Linked DNA regions of Oryzias latipes. The protein of the gene in region 1 binds, or shares a complex with, the protein of each later gene. Links are inferred from orthologs where the notes say so. Each region holds a gene or a part of one and is shown in the gene's direction. Other genes may lie near its edges.

Evidence for each region.
Region 2: lamtor5 (region 1) and lamtor3 share a complex: the UniProt entries of both Homo sapiens proteins name them as parts of the ragulator complex. The link is inferred for Oryzias latipes from reciprocal best matches to the Homo sapiens genes LAMTOR5 and LAMTOR3.

What each region holds. Positions count from the first base shown.
Region 1 is NC_019865.2:10,897,383-10,901,426, reverse strand, and holds the start of lamtor5 (ragulator complex protein LAMTOR5), read left to right. Parts: upstream 1-1,236; 5' UTR 1,237-1,375; coding exon 1,376-1,410; intron 1,411-1,499; coding exon 1,500-1,561; intron 1,562-3,354; coding exon 3,355-3,472; intron 3,473-4,044. UniProt on the Homo sapiens protein: As part of the Ragulator complex it is involved in amino acid sensing and activation of mTORC1, a signaling complex promoting cell growth in response to growth factors, energy levels, and amino acids.
Region 2 is NC_019880.2:24,349,262-24,353,536, forward strand, and holds the start of lamtor3 (ragulator complex protein LAMTOR3), read left to right. Parts: upstream 1-1,472; 5' UTR 1,473-1,538; coding exon 1,539-1,571; intron 1,572-1,655; coding exon 1,656-1,690; intron 1,691-1,845; coding exon 1,846-1,904; intron 1,905-2,271; coding exon 2,272-2,405; intron 2,406-3,051; coding exon 3,052-3,115; intron 3,116-4,183; coding exon 4,184-4,257; 3' UTR 4,258-4,275. UniProt on the Homo sapiens protein: As part of the Ragulator complex it is involved in amino acid sensing and activation of mTORC1, a signaling complex promoting cell growth in response to growth factors, energy levels, and amino acids.

The sequences.
Region 1 (4,044 bases):
CGCAATCGTCTTGCAGCAGAGGGCGGTGGTCACGTGCGCATCGGGTCTGCTGTGTCGGAGCAAAGAATTGTGGGAAATAATCTCCATTGCCTGCTTTTTTCGAAATTGGGTTGAGCACGGATGTTTGTTCTGCCTAATTCATTTTCATGTGCCGGTTTTACGTTGTTTCACTCTGAGGTATTCTTTTTTTTTTTTTTTTTTTTTTTTTTTTTGCACCATAAGTGTGAAGAGCAAATAGGAGGAAGACATTCTTTAGAGTCTGATGTGTCTAAATAAAAGCATTAAGTGTCGGCTGCTCAAGCAATTTCAAATTAAAAGCTCCAAGCTTCCTCTTTGAATTTAGTATGTAGCATATTATGTGTAACGCCTCAGGAACGGCAAATGCCGCCCCCTATGAAGTGCCGCCCTGGGCGACCGCCCACATCGACCATATCAAAAACCGCCACTGCACTGCAGTAAGATAAACAGTTTAAGTCCCACTCCAATAATCATTCGATCTATTTTCAGTGTTTCCAGTACCGGTAGTCTTTTAATTATAACTATGCCGCTTTTAGGCTAAATCAAAAAACCTTTGTCGTTTTCAGGGACATACATAGTTTCTGCAGCGTGGCAGTAGTTCATTAGAAATTCATCTCTGAGTTGTGGGCGGGACTGTTGGCGAGGACTAAGCCAATCCCTGCTTCCTATCATCAGTTTACAGCCCCTCACAGCCCCCAACCTAAAATTATGCAACAAAAATGGCTAGCAATATTGGAGCTATGCAGCCATACCGTTTTGATCCAGATGTCAGCTCTGGCAAAGAAAACAAAGATGTACAAGGATCTAGTCATCTACAAGCCAATCCATCATAATGGAAAATGCTGCTGGTTGTAGTAGCTTGTAGTAGCTTCTACGTCAGATCTGCAGGATATTTCAAATGGCATTTTTGCACATGCTACTGATTCACAACGATTTGAATAAAGAAATACTCAGAAATGCAATTTTAATCTTATTTTTTTTATGTGTCCTGCATCATCAGAAAAATGTCACAAGAATTAAAAAATACACCAAAAATCATTTATTTGAATTAAGCCGTCAATTCTATTCTATTCTATTCTATTCTATTCTATTCTATTCTATTCTACTGAAAACCAATTATTTTTAATTTGTACTAAAAGATACAGTTATCAGTCTGTCTTTAGTTGGTTGTTTTGTAGTTTTGAGTTGGCTCAGCCGTTCGCGCTTCGTCTTGTTTGACCCTGGCGATGTCTCTTACTGTACGTCACAGTCACATGATTGTCAGGAGGAATTTAAGGAAACAAACGTCAACAACAAAAAATACAATTTTTGGGCCATAGAACTTTACATTTTCTGATTTTTTTACGGTTTTCTAAAGATGGAGTCAACCCTCGAACAACACCTTGACGATACGTGAGTTCTAATCTATGCTAACTAGCTTGTTTCTTTACATTTCGTACATTCGTTTGGCTAATTCTCTTGATTTCGTGTTTTTTCTGCAGCATGAAAAATCCAGCTGTTGTTGGGGTTCTATGCACGGACCAACAAGGACACAACTTGGGCTGTAAGACTCTTCAGAGTTAACAGGAAGTCACATCACATGTATTTATTCACGAAGTACCCCGTAGTCGATATTCTCTAGTTCGTCAGTTTCGCTAATAAATAAATTCCCGCAACAGTTTAGTTTCCCCAAAAACACAAGTTTCCACCGCCAGCTGTTTATGAGAGATCATGTTGTTATTTCTGATGTTTTAGTCTTTAATCTCATTAGAGAAATGTTGCCAGTGAGTGAGAGAGGCAAAGATGTAACTCAGAAAGAAGACCCATAGTGTTTAGGTCAGTGCAGATCATGTGTAGACATCTGTCTCCTAAAGACATCCTTTGCTTACATAACGGGATGTGTTACTTTTTCCAAAGAGGCCCATATTTGCAGTGAATCTTAGAACTATTTGAAACACATTAAATTAAATATACTGCAATGGGATACTTTTCATGACATTTCATGATTACATGACAGTCTTCACATAGAAAACAGACATCTAACTACGTTTTTACCAAAATTACTGTCACATTTGTATATTTTTTGCACAGTTCATTCACAGTTAGCTTGTCGTATTAGCATGTCTTATCTGGTAGTTTCTCTTGATATTGAACTCCATGAAAACAGCCACAGTCTTCTGGCCCATTAGGCAGACACAGTTGTTTTATATTTCACTGAAAAAATGTTCAAATTTTCCATTTGTCCTTTAAGAGGTTGACCCTTAAAGAGCTAGAGAGTGTCACAAAAGGGTCGCACAACAGTGTTTCCACAGGTTTATAAAGTCTGATTTAGCCAACCACACAGCTTTTAGATATTGTTGCAGGACGCGTTCTGTTGATTTTATGTAGGAGCCTACGGGCCGGTGAAAATTTGAAAGGGGGCCGGATTTGGCCCACAAGCCGGACTTTGGACATGCCTGGCTCTCATGACTGATCGACTGTTTTCCGTGTTGAAGACCTGAGTCGGAATAATTTAAAAATGGGTCTTCAACTGAATAAGTAACAATTTCCTCTTGAGGCAAACTGATTTGATCTATTATATGATAGTAACAGTTCAGACCAGCAAACATAGCAAAGAATTCTGGCTCACTGTGGTGGTCTGATCTGCTGCTGGTTATTACACCTTTGCTGCCAGATGTTAAAGCTACATGTTAAATTATCACACTGTTGGTGCTCTGACATTGTAAAAACGTGAAATCAGATTTACTTTAAGAAAAAAGTTAAATTCTAAATAAAGACTGCAGTCCAAATGAACTGATCTGATGAGCAGAAGGATGCATCTAAAGCAGGTCATCATTTAAAGTCCCACTCTGATCATCTTTTGATCTATTTCAAAAGCATTCCTAGTCTTTTATTTATGATGAAGCTGTTTTTGACCCAAAAAAAATAGTCATTTTCCAGAACAAAGTTTCTGCAGAGCAGCACTAGTTTTTTTAAAAATTCACCTCTTGAGTTGTGAGCAGGACTGTCGGCGTGAAGTAAGCCCACTTGTCGTCACTCATCTGTTTACTGTTTACATGCTCTCCTGCTAGCTTTCAGCCCTTCAGACCCCAAGCCTAACATTAGCGGTACATCAAAAATAGCGAGCAGTATCAGAGCTATACAGTCCTAGAGTTTTTAACCCGATAACTGCTCGGATGAGAAAAACAAAGACGTCCATGGATCTAGTCTGGATTCTGCTGATTCACAACGATTTGAATAAACAAATCCTGAAAAATGCATTTTTGAATATGTTCTCCATCATCAGAAAAATGCCAAAAGAACATGTTTAAAACACAATTTTCATCAGAGCGGGTCTTTGACATATTTTTTTTTTAGGTCGTGGATCTCTGTCAGATGAACATGGAGGTGTGGTGTCTGTTCTGGCTAAACAAGCAGCTGCTCTCACCAGAGACCTGACGGACACACCGACTGTGTGCCTAGAGTCCGAGTCAGGGTGAGCCATGGACTGTGCCTTTGCACAACTTCTTCTATTTCTTAGTTTTAGTGCATTTAAGGTGTGCCTTTGTAGTTTTAAATGTGGAAGTGTACAAATAAGAGTTCCAAGACGCTGTGCAATCAGCTTCAACTTCTGTGCCACAGAGGTGCAGCAGAGATGAGCATCCTCTATACCTGCTGGTCACGTGGGAGACCATGCCTAATTATTTTTCTGAGTATTGGCTCCTCTATACTATTCATGACTTTTGGAACTTCCGGATGTTGGAATATAATAATTTCCCCACCTCCTCAATACTGTACATTTAAGTCATTTAATGGATGATTTAATTCAAAGTGGCTTAACAGTGAGATACAAAACAAACCATATTATCCAGGATTAAGTGGTTGTGAGGGTTAGACTCATGGATAATCATATAGGCAGACCTGGATTTGAGTATTTATTTTTTTGGACTATGCTGCCACCTTCTGGACTCTTTTAAACTATTGAATGTAGTGGAATTCCCACCTCTGAAATGGACTTTGTCATTTGGAATTAGAAATTTACCAAAAACACAAGTAAATAGAATTCAA
Region 2 (4,275 bases), on another chromosome or scaffold:
GTGTCTGGGCTTTTTTCCCCTAAAACTACATTTGACAATTGGAAGATGAACGTTTGAAGATTTAGTTCACGTCTCACCTGTTCTGAAGAACATGATCAGAAACCTTCTCCTGCCTGAGCTGCAGTGCCTGGAATGTCCTGGAAACAAAGGACCCTGGAGGTGACGACACCCACCTGAGCAATCCACACAGAAAGAAACAACCGATCTGGAGGAGGCAGCTCTGCTGAAAAAAGAACTAATGACTTTTATTGGGCAAATGTTACTGATGGATGGACTGACGACGGGCTTTCAGCAGGGACAGCAAGACAGTATAATAATCTATAATAAGGGATGTTACAATACCGGACAAATAAATCAATATATTGTATCTGATTGGAGACCAAATACTAATATTTTCTTGTAGGTGGCAGTAGCTGCGAAATATTTTAGCTGTGTTTAGAATAAGTTTAAAAGAAATTTCCAATTCAAAATAATTGGAAAATAAAGTTTTAGTCAACTTTATTGAAATATGTTGCCAGCACATTTCGATCAGTTGTAAGTAATGTTAGAATCTTCACTTAGTCCAGAACTATGATGGAGGTTCTAATATATTTTCTATCTACATTTTTCCCAGTCAAAAGAAGACAAAAAACATTAGACTTGGTTTGACCATGGATGAACCATGACGTCTGACCACCAGCAGGGGGAGCAGAGAGCACACGGCAGTTTAAAACAGCGAAGAAGAAGCGTCACGTGACAGCGAAGAAGAAGCGTCACGTGACTGCAGCTCTTTGGAAATTCACGGTGGTAGCATCAGCTGATTGTTTGTTTAAACGTTCAGAGGACCGAGCTCACTGTGGAAACGCTCCGGACGGGCTCGTCGTGTTTTGGATTCGGAGCCGGCGGTTCTCCTGACTTCCTGTGACGGAACCGGCTTGGGTCCTCGGAGCTGCCATGGCGGACGTGAGTCTGTCTGTCCTCCTTTAGCACCTCCTGTTCTGTTAGGCTTCACTAAAAACTCTTTAGTTTTTGGGAAGATGCTCAAAGTTCACTATTCTCTTCTAATTACAAAAACACACAGTATCATGTGGGATGGTTTGTAGGTGATAAATTATTTCATTTGGCATTTAATATTGTATTAATGTTTCATTCACAACAGCAAATTCTTAAAAAAAAATCAAACCATTACTTAATAAATTTTAGAGAGAGATATGTTTTTTTTAATCACTAAAGTTTATTAAAACAAAAGTGCAAAACAGATAAGCTGTGTAACAACCCTTAGTTTTATATTACATTTGTATTAGACTACAGTCCTAATTTTCATCTTTATTTCTTTCTGTTCTATACATGTGGATATGTTGTGTTAAAAACAGACGCTCTACAGAGGTCACGTGACATTTTTCCATTAACTGTTTATGAGAACTAGACTGGGTGACTCCTCCCCCTGGCTGTCCAAACAGGAAGTACCTGTTGGCTCCAAGAAGCCAGAATCCCATAGACTTCTTTGGAGAAATTAACAGCGGTTACTCGGTCACTATTGTCAGTAATGCTGGGTGAAAATGGTGGTGGGGAGACCAGGATCTTCTCTGACGGTTTGAAGCTCTAAAGCTCACAGACGTCCACGTTCTTGACTGTTTCTGAGGTTGCTCCTTAACTCTTTATGCTCCCGTCTGCAGGATCTGAAGAGGTTCCTGTACAAACAGATGCAGAGGTGAGGCTTTTGTCCCTTATTGTTATTGCACAAAGTGATTTACTTTAACTATATAACAAGAAAAAAAAATCTGTATTATAAATCAAATCTCTTTTCTCAAAAAAGAGTTTTTGTATCTTATATCACATGTAAATAGTAGTTTTCTGTGTCCTCAGTGTTGACGGGCTTCACGCTATCGTGGTGACGGACCGAGACGGCGTCCCGGTAATCAAAGGTGAGACTTCTTCTGTTTCGGGTTTTCTGTTCCAATAAACTGTGTTTTAATAACTTATTAGAAATACTTTTGGCCTCAGGGCCAACCTGCTACTCAACAGGAACGCTTTATCCTCAGCCTCAGCAGCTTCTTGTTGTGGCAGTAGTTTCATGGTTTGGGGTGACTCAGCTCTGGCTCCACTCGTACGAGTTTAGGTTAGAAGTCACCAAAGTAGAGCAGAAAATGGATCTAAAAGACTCATTCATCTGCATTTTAGGGGTCAAACTGTTGGGGATTTTTCTGACTTTTTTTTCTGGCCCTGGTCTTTGAACGCACCGCTCACCAGCAGGAAGTCCTCATCCTAACACGCCTGCTTGTTTTCCTCCAGTTGCCAACGACAGCGTTCCGGTGCACGCGCTCAGACCGGGCTTCCTGTCCACGTTCGCTCTGGCCACGGATCAGGGGAGCAAGCTGGGCCTCTCCAAGAACAAGAGCATCATCTGCTACTACAACACCTACCAGGTGACCCCTCCCAGCATCACCGCGTGGGGGCGTGGCAGCCGGAACACCGGCGCCTTTCACCCGCGCTCGCTTCATCCGGTTCCTGCCAGTTTGTGTCCGGTCCGGGTCAGATCCAGAACCAGACTCTAGTCTCCATCGTCTCTTATAGTAACAAACTTCCTGTTTGTAAACTTTTGGGGGTGGGATTAAGAGAATAGCCTCACATAAAAGCAGAGTGAGACGGACTGAAATGAGATGATCCATGGGAGTCGGATCACAACAGAAGCACTAGAGCAGGTTCTGTAAATGTCAGAGGGTTCTGAGAGTAAAGAAGAACTTCTGCTGGGACAGAGAGGAGAAAAGTCTGCAAACGTTATCCTCTGATGGAGCAGACAAAACGTCCAGCAGAGGAAAATCTCAGAATCTGTTGGTCTTCTTTTGTTTTTCATGATTTGTTAAGCCAGCTGAACTTTTTCCTGAGTTTTTTTAAGAAAAATCAGAGAAGTGAAAATATTTGGGTTTTTTTTATTGCTAAGTAAAAAAAAAAACCAAATCACTCTGATGGATTCCTTCTGCTCTGAACCAGCCTAACCCGGCCAATCTCCATGGTAACCAGACTCTGCTCTGGTTCTGCCTTTGTGACCCGTCTGCTGTCTCTGCTCGACAGATCATGCAGTTTAACCGCCTGCCGCTGGTCGTCAGCTTCATCGCCAGCAGCAGCGCCAACACAGGTGAGATGAGGAGGCGTGTCTGAGGAGCCCCGCCCACTGGTTATCTGCAGTCTGTTTGATGTTCTCTGAACAGAGCGTGTCTTAAAATGATCTCAGTCTTCATCTCCGTGCACCCCGCTGTTCGTGTGTAGCTTATTGCTGCATCGTGGGGAAGGAGAAATATCGCCATGGAAACGCAAAAACTTTTACCTGAGGCCTTTTCATCATCCAAATGAAAGAAAGCAGAGAAAGTGACTCAGCATCATCGTCCAAAATATGTTGCAATGTGGTAATACTGGCATTTAAAATACGGCTCAAGAGCCAAGAAGTTGAAGTTTATCTGAGAAAAAACCCGACATTTCAGATCATTTAGTCTGACGGGAATCTCCAGGAATGTTCTGGATTATATTTAGTGAAAAGAAGAAAAAAAGTTCTTGTCAAACCCCTTCTGACAAAAGATGAATCCTGTGAGTCTGACCCATCCTGCAGACTCAGGTGGGAGGGGCCTAATCAAAACCTAGAGTGAGCCCTCCCCCCCTGGCGTTCCAAACAGGAAGTACCTAATCCTACAGAGAAATAGACAGCTGTTACTCAGTCTTTTGATCCGAGTAAGTATTCTTACTCGGATACATTTTTTTTATGATCGTCATATTTTTCTGTGGTTCAAGTTATAAACTGACCAATCAGATAAGAGTATCCATTCGACAGATTTCATGTCTTTTAAGTGGTGGTAGGGGTGTGGAGTTCCAACAAGCTCACTCCTGATTGGTGAGAGTGGTTGCCATAGAAACATGGACTCAGATTGACTTATCGCTGCTTATATATCCTGAAAAAATGGCGAGTGAATTGACTTCATGTGGTTGGAGCTGGAGGTAAACCATTTTCTCTGTGTGATGTCACATTCAGTCCAGTGCTCATATGCAGTCAGGGGATTCTCCAGATAAACCTGATCCTGACCAGGGTAGGGTCAGATTGTTTCCATAGCAACAGACTCCAGTTAGGAGCCATCCAGCTTTGTGAAAATGAATCCATCTGGTTTTTCACACGAGTGGGAGGCGTTTTGTAAAAACCCTCCTTTTCTGTCCTCAGGCCTCATCATGACTCTGGAGAAGGAGCTGGCTCCTCTGATGGAGGAGCTGAGGCAGGTGGTGGAGGTCACATAAAGTCCCATGATGCTTTGC